2 linked regions of the Diceros bicornis minor genome follow. The protein of the gene in region 2 binds, or shares a complex with, the protein of the main gene of each other region. Links are inferred from orthologs where the notes say so. Each region holds a gene or a part of one and is shown on either strand. Other genes may lie near its edges. The genes, in order: SENP2 and RANGAP1.

Region 1 (7,230 bases), on a different chromosome or scaffold from region 2:
CTCATACACTAATTCTAAAGCACAGAACCACTCTTCCTCCCTCCTCCACAAAAAAAGAACACACACAGTTTGACAGCTGTTTCAGAACAAGACAGCTGCTGTCTCTTGGTGCTAAGAGAACAGTACTAGCAGTCAAAACGGCTTTGGGCAAGCTATGAATTTCACTTCCTTTAACTGCACTTATTACCCACAGATGACACTTGGGAGTGTGCTTTGTAAACAGTGAGCCACAACAAAGACAGTATTCCTTCAATTTTTAATTTTCAACCTAAGAGCAGCAAAGTATGATAAAGCCGCATTTGTTGACAGCAACCAGCCTGGACTCTGACAGGAACATCAAAGATCCTAACCATCACCGGCCACTCCAAAGACAACCAGCTGGTTCCATCAACAGGAGTCGCATCCGCACACTGTGGAGAGAGCGACGTCACCAGGACACCCGCGACCCGCACCTCTCCAGCCTCGGCCCCCCAACTGTTTCGGCTGAGCAGGGCCGACCTGGCTGGACCAGCGCTACCCCGGCCGAGCCCGGGTGGGCGGGGGAGAAGCTAGGCCGGCGCTCAGCCCCCTCTCCTCTCACCTGTTCGAGCGCCGCCTCTTCAGGAGGGCCCGGGCAGGGGGCACCGGACGGTCACAGAAACGGAAAATGGTGCCGAGAATCCTAACCAGCCATTTGTACATACCAGGCCCAAGCAGCAGCGGCGGCCGACACACCCCGAGACGCAAACCCCAGAGCTGTCGCCGCCGCTGCCACCTTCGCCGCCTCGGCCACCACTGCCAAGGCTCAGTCGCTGACTTGTGACGCGGACCAAGGGCCCACAGATACAACGTCCCCAGGGCTACAGGAGGCCCCCACCCGCCACCGCTCCTGACGTCACCTCCTCCCGCCCGACCGGAAAGCATCTTCGTTCTCAATCTGCGCACGCGCAACCTAGGACCCCACCTCCCGAGCCTAGCAACCAAAAATGCCTGCGGGACAGTCCCGGTCCAATCGCTGACGAGATCGAAAGGGTTGTGGGCGGGGTTTTCTTTGGCGGAGCCAGTCCTGAGACGGCTCGCGGGACAAGACCCACAGGCCACACGTGAGGCATCTCCATCCGGGAGGGAGCTCTCCGGGGGTCTGAAATACAGTAGGTGCTCAGTAAATGTTTGTTAAGTGCACGAAATAAAGGTAGGTCAGGTTAATTAACAAATGTTTACCCTGCTAGGCGCCCTTTACTTTGCATATACCTTATGCCTGGTACTTTACATGCACTGTCACCTTCATTTCTCCCAGCAACCGCAGGCGATGGGGAGTCTGTGCCCACTTTTAGTAAATGAGGAAATCATGGCATAGAGCGATTAAGTAATTTGCCTACGGTCACAAAGCTGGCTAGTGGCATAGCTGGAATTTGAACCGGAGTCTGAGTACCAGCGCCAGCTCCTTGCCCTTGAGGTCAGTCTACTGGGAGAGACATAATTACAAATTACAATACCAGGTAATTGGCTGCTGTGATAAACGTGTAAGCGAAGTACGGGGGAAGGGAAGGGCACAACTCAAGGAAGTCTTCACAGAAACTTAAGGGTGAAAATGTACCTGTAGCCTACTAGTACTTACTAGTCCCCTCCCCTGGGCTGGCAAGGAGTGCTGCTAATTACTCTCCCTCTGTTATCTAGAGGTCACACTTCTGGTTATCAACAACAGAAAATGTCCCACCCTACTTGGTAATAGAAAATCCAGTCCCCTCCCCAAACAGTCCTGGGAATCCTCAAAGTTTTCCATGCCCCGCAGATCCAATCCCTGACTACACTTGATCCTTACCTGTGATTCTGTTAAGACCAGACTTCCAGACTGACTTGAACTTCAACACAAGCACTCCCTAGTACAGCCTTATCCTTTGATCAATAAACAGTGTTCCAGAATTCTGCTGCAAGCCACCCCCTAGAGCTCCAGAATCACCAGCTACACCTGTGGCTACCACCACTCTGACCTGGGAAGATGGGGGACAGTTCCTAGAAGGTGGAAGCAAATCCTAAGTGTGGACATAGGCCCCTCCCTTAATTCCCCCAAACATACCTAACACCGGGCTGTTATTGAAAGTTTGGGAATAAGAGAATTACAAAGCTGAGAAGATTTAGAAGTGGCTGTTACAAGTACAGCGTTTATAGCCCATAGTCCATTGCCTCCCAAAAGGACTCTTCTCCCCTGGAGGTAATTGCTCCACTCTTCTCAACATCTTTTACCAGCCACCAACAGAAGAGAATTTCCCCTCCACCTCTACCCTAACCCATTTCAGGCCAGACACCCAGTTAACTTAAAAGAAGACTATGGTTGGCATTCTTATTTAGAGCAGCTCACCTGTGTCCCAACTATCCATTCCACTATAAGACTTGGTCTTTGCTTTTGCCAAACCAAGAAGACCACTCAAGTATTGAGAAGAGATTCCCCAAAACAAAAGAGCAAGCTTCGTTGAAAACATAAATCAGAAAACTGCAAGCTGCTTTAGGATAGCAGCTGGTCTCAGGTTCTGGCCACCAAGATTTAAGAAGTATTGGCATCCCGTCTCAGAGCACTCGAGTACAGTACCAGAGCACAATATTTTTTCTTTTCCTGCCTTATTAATAGCACGTGCACATACTCAATACTGAAATGTCGGTAATCCGCCATGAAAAGTGGGAGGGCTTCGGAATTACAGACCTCAGTCTGAATCCCTGGGCCTCATCAGCAAACAGTAAGTCATGAGTGTGGCAGCTGCCAGCCTCCCGCACACAGACACCCCCTTTGTGTCCTCTTAGTGCCTCCAGTTGCCCTCTGAAACGGAGAAAAAAAGGGGACTCAGCCTTACTGTCGCTCCCGCCTGGGACTCGTCTGCCAGTTGGTGCCTTCGCAGTCCTCTTGTCCACAGTAGGGGCATGGGCCACTGCCCGTCCACTGGGCAAGGAGTGGGATTATCCTTAACCCCAACCCCAGCGCTGTCGCAGCCATTCCCGGACCCAGGAACTCCTCACCGGAGGGCCGGAGGAGAATCCCAAAACCATGTGGAGTAACAAGGACATTGAGATCTCCGCCCTTGCTCTGGATAACTTGCGCCCTTGTACCGCCGTAGGGGCATGACCTCATTGCTGAAGTTTTCATAGGGAATCCCAAACGATTGCCCCAGTTTTCCATAAAGATCCTCGTTGTCCTCCTGCTAAGACCTTCTCCTTCAAGCCTTTCCAGGGCCCCTCCCCCATCTTCCTCAAAACCTACCTCCCCTTCACGGAACAGTAAAGACCCACCCCTGCAGTCCATTCTTTAGTCTTGCAAATTTTCCCTTTGCCAGCATTCTCGGAGTGTTAAAAGATTTCCTCTCAGGGCCCACCTGGTGGCATAGTGGTTAAGTTCACGTGCTCTACTTCAGTGGCCCGGGGTTCGCAAGTTCGGATCCCTGGCACGGACTTATGCACCACTTATCAAGCCATGCTGTGGCAGGCATCCTGCATATAAGTAAAGGAAGATGGGCACAGATGTTAGCTTGGGGCCAGTCTTCCTCAGCAAAAAGAGGAGGATTGGCAACGGATGTGAGCTCAGGGCTAATCTTCCCCCTACACCCCCCAAAAAAGATTTCCTCTCAACTTTGTCTTTGCTGATCCCTGTCAGAAAGGGGTTCTGGGCCATTTTATGGAAGAGGGTAAGAGCCTATAGATGAGATATTGTTGGTTTTGGCCTAGTGTGCCTAAAATCCAACAGAATTCACCACCCTGAAGATTAATTTCCTTCTGGGGACCAACTCTTCCGGTACTCAAGGAAAATGTATCCTCCTAATAAGGTGACTTTGATCTTATTCAATCTGTCTAATAATAACCTTGGCCTTATTATGCCAAAAGCAAGTGCAGTTCTTTCTTGCCCTAGATTTTATTACAAAATTTGCTCACATTGATTTCGTATGGCTCTGCCTGCCTCATGTGGAGAAACAGCACCAGGCCCTACCTAAGCTTGTTTCCTAACCTGTAAAATAGAGTCAGTCAAACCTGCCTCTCAGATCTGTGGGCCAATTAAATGTGTTTCTGTATGTGAAGGACCTCCTTCAATGCCTAGCAGAGGTAAGTGCTTAATGTTTCTCTTCTCTCTCTTTCCTTCTCCTATCTAACAAGTCATTTAACTTGCCAATTCCGCATTTTACATTTTCCATAATCTGCCCCTTCCCCTCTCCAAACCCATTGTTAACCGGATACCCGCCACACAAGAGGGGCCAAATAAAAACTGGAACAAGGAAAGAGTTTCTATTTTGGGTAACGTCAGCCAGGAGACGAGAGCTCTCAAATTTGTCCCATCTCCCCGAAAGATGGGAGGCAAGGGGTTTTAAAGGTTGCAAGGGAGAGCCTGTGCTGGGGTTTTAGGTAAGGGAGAGGGAGCACATGGCCACGCTGGTTGGCACCTTCCCACCAGCCTGCTTTTGGCCTTGAGGACTCAATTTCTTTCCCTTGACTGTCTGGGCTTCTCTGGTTAGTTTTCATCTTCAGCCTGCATGTGGCCTTGTGAGGCTGACTCTTGATGTCTGGACCTTGAATTCCTGGGAAAGACAGCTTGTTCATATACTAAGGAGGGACAGAAAGACCTGGTTAGTTTTAAACAAGTTGATTATGCTGAATATGCACAGCTGCAGTTAGCAAAGCTTATCTCCAAGTTTTTGCTCTCTGCTGCTAGCGCAGGGAAGATTTTTAAACCTCTTCGTGCTCGGTTTCACCATCAGAACTACTGTTGATCATGACCTGATAATTTCTCACACCATTGCAATAGCCACCTCCTCTTCTACCCTGTCCCTCTTCTATCTATTTTCAGGGTAATCTCTCTCTTTTTGTCTTTTGTTGTTGTTGTTTTGTTGCCTTTTGTTGTTCTTGATAAGGAAGGTAAATATGTTGTTGTTCTTATTTATTAAGTAAACTTATAAATTAAATTTCTGGTTTTCTGTTACTGAAACGTTAAAAATGGTTACGTTAATTTTCACCAAATTCCGGAGGTTTGTTTGGAGTGGTCTGACTTAAAATATGGGGCAAGCCTAAAATTTACTGTGGATGACCCTAGGGAGAACCTTGAAAAGAGAGACAGGTATCTCTAGGAGCAGCTGAAATGGAGGTGCAGCCAGAAGAGGAGGATGCCACCAGATGAGAAATACCCTGCTGGGTTAGACAGCATGAGCCCCTCAAATGGTTCACCATGGTTCCAAATGGGAGCCCATGTCAGACGTCGCAAGGATAGACCTTGCAAATTACAGGAATTTTCCCGTAGAGTTGCTTCTCACACAGACAACTCTGTGTGCCTGCTCCAGGGAATAATTGTCTAATGAAGGTGCAGGATTCTCATGACCAATGCTTGGGAAGCCAGCGAAGTTAAAATGAAAATAGAAATCTGATTGTAATAAGACTGTTTTAAAACAACAGTTTAGGGGCCAGCCCTGTGGCTTAGCAGTTAAGTGCACGCGCTCAGCTGCTGGCGGCCAGGGTTCAGATCCCAGGCGCGCACCTACGTACCGCCTCTCTGGCCATGCTGAGGCCGCGTCCCACATACAGCAACTAGAAGGCTGTGCAACTATGACATACAACTATCTACTGGGGCTTTGGGGGGAAAAATAAATAAATAAAAATTTTAAAAAAATTAAATAAAACAACAGTTTAAGATCCAGATAAATCTAAAATACATAGTATGGATGGATGTTAAATGTTGAGCATTCCTCTGAAATTTTTGTTGACTTTTTTAAAAAAAAGTCATTACATGCTAATGAACTTTTAGTACGTAAAAGCATTTTGCCTCTGTCTTGCCAGTGTGCATACAGGCCTTGCTAGAGCAGTCTCTCCTTGAAATGTCTGAGCAGCACTCTGAAAACAAGCAGTTACTGAAAGCACTGGACTTACATTGATTTCATTTGATACACTGTTTGTAAGGAAGTCTCCGTTTCTAAAACAAAGTAGCTCTATTCCATGAAAAGTATTTCTTAAGCCAGAAAAGTAGAATGCAGTTCTTGTTTTGTAATTAACTATCAAAAAAAATTGTTCATATAATAATGTTAATAAGTTAACCTAAATATATTATCTTACATATATTAATATTATTTATTATGTTTTTATATTATATATGATTCTAGTACATATTATTTATTATATTTATTTGTATTGTTATATAATCATAATATATTAACATATAAATAAGTGAACAAGAAAAAAGGTAGATTCCCACTGCCTTGAAGATAAAATCCAATATCCTAAGCATGACACAAAGTTCTTCAAAGCCTGTCTTCAAATTACTTTATCATTTCCCTATTCATACACACCAAACTCTCAATCCACACTTCTTTTATGCCTCCAAGTTTGTTCCCTGTCCCTGGAATGCCTTTCCACCACCTTCTTCACCTCTTCAACTCCTACCTACTCTTTTGAACCCAGCTCAGAAGGCACCTCCTGTGTGAAGCTTTTCCAATGGCTCCTCCCTCTGGGATTCCCATCATCTTATTGCTTCCTTCTTGGTTCTCCTATGGGATGTGTATCCATATGTCTATATTAGTATTATTATGATCATTAATGTGTCTGTCTCCTTGAGGGAAGGAGCTATCTCCTATTTTTTCCTTATTATTTTTTTAAATGAAAGTTCAAGAAATGTTCAATAAATGAAGGAATGAAGAAATGAAACAAATATATGAATTTGGGGAAAGTTACCCTGATCTACTTGTAGAATATGAATCAAGGGAACAAACTTATCTTCCAGACTTGGATCGCAAGTGAGAGATTCCAGGGTCACTGATGCGGATAAGAAGACAAAAGGATGTTACAGTGAGTCATGTACTAGCTTGGAGACATAGACCAGGGTGGGAGAGGACATAGGTCATTGGTTGAAGCCAGCGAGAGTTATAAAACCAACTCCTCTCAGTTCCATTAACTTCCATACCTGTTTTTCCTGTCCACGCATTTGAAAGCTTACCCACCCCTTTCTACTCTGCTCTCTGTAGCAAGTGATTTCTAGGTTAAAGAAAAAAAAAAGCCAGTACGTTATTGTACATTCGAAATGAGGGAAATTGTGGTATTGAGAAGTGATATTATGATATTGCCCTTCTTGAGTTGTGGTCATTTATCAAGGTCACAGTGTTGAGAAAATTAAGCATTCTTTACTCTTGACTAGCTGATGGTAAGTAAAGAAATGGTTTTCCTGAGCACCTTTGAATAAATCTTAACATTCAAATGGTTATGAGTTGGCCTCTCTTTTGGAGTTTTTAAAAACTT
Region 2 (7,574 bases):
AACTCACCATCTTCTGCAGTGTTGAGCTTGAGGCTCTTGCCTTTGAAACTCAGTTGTCCCCCGGCCACCTGGGTTTTGGCTAGCGTCTCTGCCAGCTTTGCAATGTCTTCAGAGGCCATGTTGGCCACGTTCGTAGGCTCCTCCCGCAATCTGCAAACTGAGGAGGCCAAAGTTTCATTAAAAGAGAGGAGTCGGGCCGGCCCCATGGCATAGCGGTTAAGTGCATGCACTCCACTTCGGCGGCCCGGGCTTTGCAGGTTCGGATCTCACACGCACCGACGGACTGCTTGTCAAGCCATGCTGTGGCGGCATCCCATATAAAGTAGAAGAAGATGGGCACAGATGTTGGCCCAGGGCCTGTCTTCTTCAGCAAAAAGAGGAGGATTGGCATCAGATGTTAGCTCAGGGCTAATTTTCTTCACCAAAAAACAAAACAAAACAGAGGAGTCTCCTGGGGCCCCCTGGTTGGGAAAGGCAGGATAAGACATCAGCCTGACCCCACCTCCTCCTGCTATGGAGACCCCAAGAGCTAAACCACTGGTAGAAATGAAAACAGCATTAGAGGAGGAACAGTCTAGAAAAGTGGAGAAGGTAGCAAGAAAGCAGAAAAATCATGTTTAGCCTCTGAAGAGTTACAATTTCACTACACGTCCTCCTCTGCCAACTGCCCCAGCTGGGACACCTAGCAAAGCCATGTAAAGTTGCCCAGTTCCTGGGCCCCCAGTGAACGGCAGCTGAGTCCCAGGCCCACAGCTGCAAAGAGTCTGCCTCAAGCACACACCTGTCTGATCATCTTGACTGCTCTCTGTTTGAGGGTCCCATTCCTCAAACAGGACATAGATGGCTACGGGATCCAGGTCATCCATCCCAGAGAATGCCCCACCACCCACACTGACATGACTCTGGGGGTGGGGCCCAGGGGTCAGCCCACTGCACGTCTGGTTTCAACCCTGGCCAGGAGACTGGGCAGCCCATGGCAGCCAGACCTCAAGGGCTCCTAGGAGACCTGAGATCTCTACATCACAACAGTCACCATCACAATAGACCAGAGGCAGAGCTGCTGGAAAAAAGAGCTTCCAGCCTGGAGCTCAGCAGACTGGAAGAAAGGACCACTCAGTTTTCCCAAAGAGGAAATGGCAGGTGATCAACAGAGACCAAGAAAGACTGATACAGGGACAGAACCAGGAGGTGCCCACCGAGATGACTTCTTATCCTGAATGCCTAATCCCCGAATCTACTCATCAAGATACAGTTGTGATAGCTCCCCACCCTCCTACTCCCGCAGGCTTCCTCTGGGCTCAAACAGCCAGGTTCCCACTCCCTTCTCCTTACCTGAATCCTCACCACCCTGGTTTGTCTGTCTATACATCTTTAGCAATATGCATGAATTATTCTTCTAGGTAAGGAGACGTCCATTCACTCATTTAACAAACATTTATTGAGTACTACTGTATGCTGGACATTGTTCCAGGTAGCAGGAGTACAGCAGTGAATAACACAAAAACCCTGCCCTCTTCAAACATATGTTCTAAACAAGATATTTAGTATCTTAGCCAGTGATAAGAAGAAAAACAAACAAGGAAGGAAGGCAGTAAGAAATTTCTTGGAGGGGTTGCAATTTAAAGTAGAATAGTTAGAGAAGTTATTATTAAGAAAGAAACAAAAACTTGACAGATATCAGGGATTGGGCCATGCAGATATCCGGAGGAAGAACATTCTTGCAAAGGGAACAGCAAATGCAAAGGCTGTTGTGGGGGATGGGGGTGGTTTAGAGGTAATGCAAGGAGGCCAGGGGGGCTGGAGCCCAGAGAGGGATGGGGAAAGGAGGCAAGAGATGAGAAAAGAGAATTAACAAGAGGACTAAGTCACAAAGACCATTTTAAGAACCATGGTTTTTACTGTGAGTGACAAGGAGAGCCACTGGAGCGTTTCTAGCAGAGGACAGACGTGATCTGACGTTGTGTTTTTGCAGGATCACTCTATCTGCCACATAAGGCCTGGCATTTAGAAGGTACTCCAAGAATGACGGGCTGAAACTGAATAAAAATTAGCCTGAAACCCCACCACCTCTTGCAGTTAAGCGACGGGACAATTTGAGGCTAGAAAAATGGTGGTGGGGCCTCTGATGGAATAGGAACACAGAACCTCTCAGCTGGAGTGGGGCCCATTCCTCAGACAGTACACACACACACACGATCCACTTTAAAGACTAAGAAATCGAAGCACAGAGAGGTGAATGGATTTGTCCAAGGTTTGCAAAGGGTCAGCGGCAGAGCAAAGACAAACGGTACACACAGTCCTCTCCCTTCTCGGCAGAAGCGTCGCAGGCTTCCTTAGGCGCACACCCATGGCTCCTGCGAAGCGTTCGCAGTGACTCACGCCGATCCCAGGCCCTCCGCGGGGGTGGGCCCCTTGGCAGGCGGCGACGAGGCAGCAACGCGCGAGTGAGGGCGGCAAATGACAGACGGGCAGCGCGAGGCCCATCTGGGCGCCCCGGCGGACGCACACCGCCCCTAGTTGACACCGACGCTAACAGGAGACGCCACTACTGGCAGCTGGGGCTGGGCGGCCCGGGCGACCGAGACGCCCTCTCTAATCCTTAGTTTCCCTGCTTGTGACAGGGGCCAGAGCCCCCCAGTACCCCCACTCCCACCCGCTCCGTACTGGGCCGTCGAAGGCTCAGGGGAAAAGGCCGGGAGCGCGCAGAAGGCGCTCAGGGGCGCCACGCCTCCCTCGCCCAGTTCCAGGGCGGCGCCGCCTCCGCCCCCATCCCAGGCAGGTGACGGGCAAAGGAAAGAGACCCCGACCCTACCGTGAACAAGCGGCGGCGCCGCCGCGTGGGGCGACACGAGCGCGCGCGTTCGCCCGGCGGGGCGGGGACTGATTTAGGGTCCGGGTCAGGTCAGGTCGGGGTAGCCGCCTCCGACTCCAGCGGTCCCGATGCCCAGCCCGCCCGTCCGTCAGCTCTCCCGGTGGCTCTCGCCACTCGCCTCTGCCTCCGACACCACCTGCTCTCCGCACGGCGGCGGATGATGGCGGAGGAGGAGGATTTTGAAAGCCGGCAGTTTCTTTCCTTTGATTTGATTTGTTCAAGGCTCAGGCCGGCTTCCCTTCCCCCGCGCGCGTGGCCTGTCGGGCATGGTAGTCCAGTCCTCCAGCGCGGGCGCGGCAGCAGCGCGCTCTCGAACTACCAGTCCCGTGATGCACCGCGCTCCACAGCACCTCCGCCCGCTGCCTCTTCGCCCTCCCTGTTCGGCTTCTGGCTCTTTCTCGGGGAGACCACAGGGCGGCGTTTAGCAGCGAGCTCCCATGGAGACTACAATTCCCTTAATGCCTTGCGGCCTAGCTGTCTCAGCTTTTCCGGAAGGGTTAACGTTCACGTAACTTTATTGACAAGGCTGGTACTGTGGAAGGCATGCTGCTGGATCTTTTCAGCAAGAAATGGGTATCTATTTCCTGAAGGGAAAGCCTCGCCTGTTTTGACCCATGAAATTGAAAGGACATTCGAAGCCTTCCACATAAATAGCCACAAACTAATTGATAATTAAAAAGGGAAATAATAACCCTATAGTAGAGAAACTGCGACACCACCTTAACCGAGTGGTCCGTATTAACATCAATGACAGGACAAACTGACATCCATCGCACACCTTCCGATGTGATGCACTGAGAAGGACACAGCATCACCATCTAGCAGCAATGCATAAAATTAATTTAATCATGAGGAAACAGACAAACACAAACTGAGTCACGCTGCAGAGTAACTAGTCTATACTCTTCCAAAACTGTGTCATGAAAGACAAAAGAAAAGCTGAGGAACTGCTGCAGATTAAAGGAGACTAAAAAAACATGACAACTAAATGCAATACATGGTCCTAGACTAGATCCAGGAGTGGGGGGAGGGAACTACTATAAAGGGCAATATTGAGACAATTAGCAAAACTTGACTGTATATTAGATAATAGTATTGTATCAGTGTTAAATTTATTGATTTTTATTATTGTACTGGATTATGTAAGAGACTGCCCTTGTTCTTGGGAAATATATGCTGAAATAATTAGGGGCATGTCTGCAAGTTACTCTCAAATGGTTAAAAAAATGTGTACATATATTTACAGGGTGCAAATGTGGCAAACTGTTAATAATAAGTGAATCTGGGTGAAGGGTATTTGGGAGGGAATTTGAACATTTTTGCTACTTTTCTGTAGGTTTGAATTTTTTTTAGAAACACAAATAGCTTTTTTTTTTTCTTTTCACAAAGAACTTTTTAACCCTTATATAAATAACGTGTTCATTATAAACACTTCAACCAATATAGAACAGGATAAAGAGAAAGTAAACATTACCGGGAAACTCTCACCTAGAGATAATCACTGTCAACACGTGTGGCCTTCTTTTCCAAAGTTAACTCTCACAGCTCGGCCCACACACATGCTTTTGCTTCACCTGCGATTCAGAGTTAAATATATTATGTGCCAGATCCTTTCACATTCAGCTAATTTAATCTTTACAACCACAAAGGAAGTGGGCATCATTACCACCCTTCCCAGCACAGAGATGAGAAAAATGAACCTGGTTCACGGTTCACACAACTACTGAGATGTGAGTCCTCTCTTCACCCTCCCTCTCCTTCTCTGCCTACAAGGCCCATATCAAATGCCACCTCCTCCGGGAAGCTTTCCTACAGGACTCCAGTCAGAATAAGTCACCTTCTTCTGGGACTCCATAGCAAGCTGAAAGCCCCCTCAGCAGTTGGTCTGCGGCTCTGAGGGCTTTTTCACAGTTAGAGATAACAGTCTTTGTTAACAGTATTCTTGGCAGCTTCCTTCTCAACCTGGGAGAGCCTCGAGGACAGGTACTGTATCCATCTTGGCAGCATCCTCTCAGGGCCTCGCCTGTCATAGGTGCTTCAAGTTTCCTCATTTGAACTGGATTCCAGTCAGGGTCACCGGACATTTGCTTAAAATGATTCATCATCTGAGAGGCTGAAATGCTCCCAATCAGGCCTGATTCTATTCCTGTGCTGGTTACAGCTAGGACTGGTCAAATCAGTCTGATTTTCCTTGGGATGATCTCCAGGCTCCCTTTTCCAGTTTTACTTCCTGAGACTTTCCCTGGCCCTCTGATGGGAACCTCCTGAAGGGGAGAGGAAGGCAGGTGGTAGGACATCTTAGACCATCTTCCCCTTCCTCGTCCAGCTGATGGATCATAGCGTTTTTCAGAACTGGAAGGGAATTCTTAGCAGAAACTCAATAGCCTTCAAGGGCCAAGGAGGTAATAGGAGGTAATGGGGGCCCGGCCAGGCTCGTGGAGAGCCAGAGAGTAGATGTTCTGCCTGAAAGTGTTCACATTCAAAGCTAAAAATCACAAACCCAGCCTGACAGCACCCCTTAGCAATGCAGATTCCGTTTGGATCTAGATTTTATCTCAAAAACCTTTAAAATGGGGAGACTGGGTTTAAAAAGGAGAAGGAGGTTTGCACAGTGAGTCAGAAGAGTCCAGAACCATGAGTGTTTCCAAGCAACACATTTGTCATCTTCTCTCCCTCTCTCCTTCCTTTCTGCAACTCTCTTTCTCTTTCAAGTATCACCTGAGAGCTAGTCGGTTTGCCTGGCCCAAGAAGTGGAATCATTGCCTTTGTCAGATGGATAGCCATCTTAGGCCACCTCTTTCGTCTTTTCAACAAATGAAGAACTGAGGCCCGGAGAGGTCAAATAACCCACCCAAAATACACAGTAATTTAGAAAAGAGATAGTAGAAGCCAGATCTCTGGGACCCTTTTCAACACGCACACAAAACAAGTCACTTTGTGAGTGTGAGCTGGGTATGGGGGGAGAAAGGAGAGGGGAGTGTTCCAGACCTTTCTCTCTCTGTTGTGCAGCTTTTTATACAAGAATGTTTTGAAGAGAAAAGCAGGCTGCCTCTGATTAGTTTGGTTTACGTTAGCTGAGTGTTTTAAATTCCATTCTGGTGACTGAAAACAAACTTAATTGCCAATCGTAAATGGAATAAATAACAATATTTATGCTGGTTTCCTGAAGAGCTACCAAGGCTGCAGACTTGCCATTTAGTCAGATCAAAAACAAATGCCTGAAGTATGCCAGGCACGTGAGGAATGTGGAGAGAAATTCCCAAGGTCCAATCGGGTGCTCGCCTTGGGCCCCTGGAGAGAGGTGGGTAGGCCTGGCCTACCAGCCTTGCAAGGGAGCCTGCCCCTTTATCCCCAAGGGTCACCTCCCCTGGTGGGAGGGGGTGGCTACATCATCTATTAAAGACAACTCAAACCACATTCTCCCCTGGGTTCAAGCCCAGGGCCCCCTTAATTATTTTTTTAACCTCCATAAACAACCATAATTAAAAGAATTCATTCACTCCACAAATAGTTATCCATCATCTACTATGTGCCAGGCACTGTTCCAGCTCCTGAGAATCCAGTGATGAATGAAAGAGGAAAGGATGGTATCTGCTGAGGAGCTTCACTTCGAGTCTAACATTTACAGAGGGTTTCCCGGTACCAATTGCTTTTGGTAGATTATGTTCTCTTTTAATAATTCTTTTGTTCCAAAATGGAAATCATTTTTTAATGAAAATTGACAGTCATGTAAAAAACATTAGTATAAACGCAAAAGAGCATAAAGAAGAAAGTTAACAATTACCTGTTTTGTTTTTAACCAAAATGTGATGTGGATTGATGGGTGGATGGATGAATATGTGAGAAAGCAAATACAGCAAAATGTTAACAATTGTATAGTTCTTTCAGCTTTCTGTATGCTTGAACATTTTCATAATAACATGTTGGGAACCATGTTTTATCCTCTGCATGTCATCTACTGTATTACAGTCTGGTGGCTATCTCAGTCTCTAAACTCCTGAGTCCTCCTCTTCTCTTTTTTTGAGTCACCTTCACCTTTGAGAGTCTGAATTCTATGGACTGTTTCCCAGAAGAACGTATTATTTATTTGTTTATTTTTTTGTGAGGAAGATCAGCCCTGAGCTATCATCCATGCCAATCCTCCTCTTTCTGCTGAGGAAGACTGGCTCTGGGCTAACATCTGTGCCTATCTTCCTCCACTTTATATGGGATGCCGCTGAGGCACTGCTTGTCGGGCCATGCCTGGGATCCGAACCCAGGCCGCCAGCAGCAGAGCGTGCGCATTTAACCGCTGTGCCATGGGGCCGGCCCCCTTATTTATTTTTTAATCACACACTTGTCAATGCTCTGTATGCAGGAACTCACTTAATCTTCACAGTGACCCTGTGGAGAAAGTACTCTTACTATCCCCAACCTAAGCCTCGAGTTGTGCATCTATCTTCATGGTCCTTCGCTAAATCCCAAGTTAAGATTCCTTGCTGGAGGGCTGGGACTTGGGACTATACTGGAGCTGTGGGGACATGGGGTTTCTCTGCAGTCCCAGGACCCAGCATGGGGCCTGGCAATGAATGTTTGCTGAGTGAGTGAATGAACACGGCACATGGTCACACCTAAGGTTGCCATGCGTTCCAGCTCTCCCCAGGAGATAACGAGGCATTTCTGGGGGCCGGGCCATGGCAGGCCTAAGCCTGGAGTAGGAGGT

The links.
Region 1: the proteins of RANGAP1 (region 2) and SENP2 are in contact, whole or in part, in a crystal structure (PDB 2IO3), measured with the Homo sapiens proteins. The link is inferred for Diceros bicornis minor from reciprocal best matches to the Homo sapiens genes RANGAP1 and SENP2. Residues at the interface, in NP_001265580.1 of Homo sapiens: Glu467, Asn508, Thr511, Thr514, Arg515, Val518, His519, Leu523, Lys524, Ser525, Glu526, Asp527, Val529; in NP_067640.2 of Homo sapiens: Tyr408, His409, Trp410, Val477, His478, Asp495, Met497, Gly498, Gln499, Lys500, Pro536, His537, Gln541, Gln542, Asn544, Gly545.

Annotation. Positions count from the first base shown.
Region 1 is NC_080754.1:38,264,421-38,271,650, forward strand, and holds the start of SENP2 (sentrin-specific protease 2), read right to left. Parts: upstream 3,174-7,230; 5' UTR 3,149-3,173; coding exon 2,826-3,148; intron 1,121-2,825; coding exon 581-1,120; intron 1-580. UniProt on the Homo sapiens protein: Protease that catalyzes two essential functions in the SUMO pathway.
Region 2 is NC_080764.1:9,104,514-9,112,087, reverse strand, and holds the start of RANGAP1 (ran GTPase-activating protein 1), read right to left. Parts: upstream 3,036-7,574; 5' UTR 2,813-3,035; intron 158-2,812; 5' UTR 120-157; coding exon 8-119; intron 1-7. UniProt on the Homo sapiens protein: GTPase activator for RAN. Converts cytoplasmic GTP-bound RAN to GDP-bound RAN, which is essential for RAN-mediated nuclear import and export. Mediates dissociation of cargo from nuclear export complexes containing XPO1, RAN and RANBP2 after nuclear export.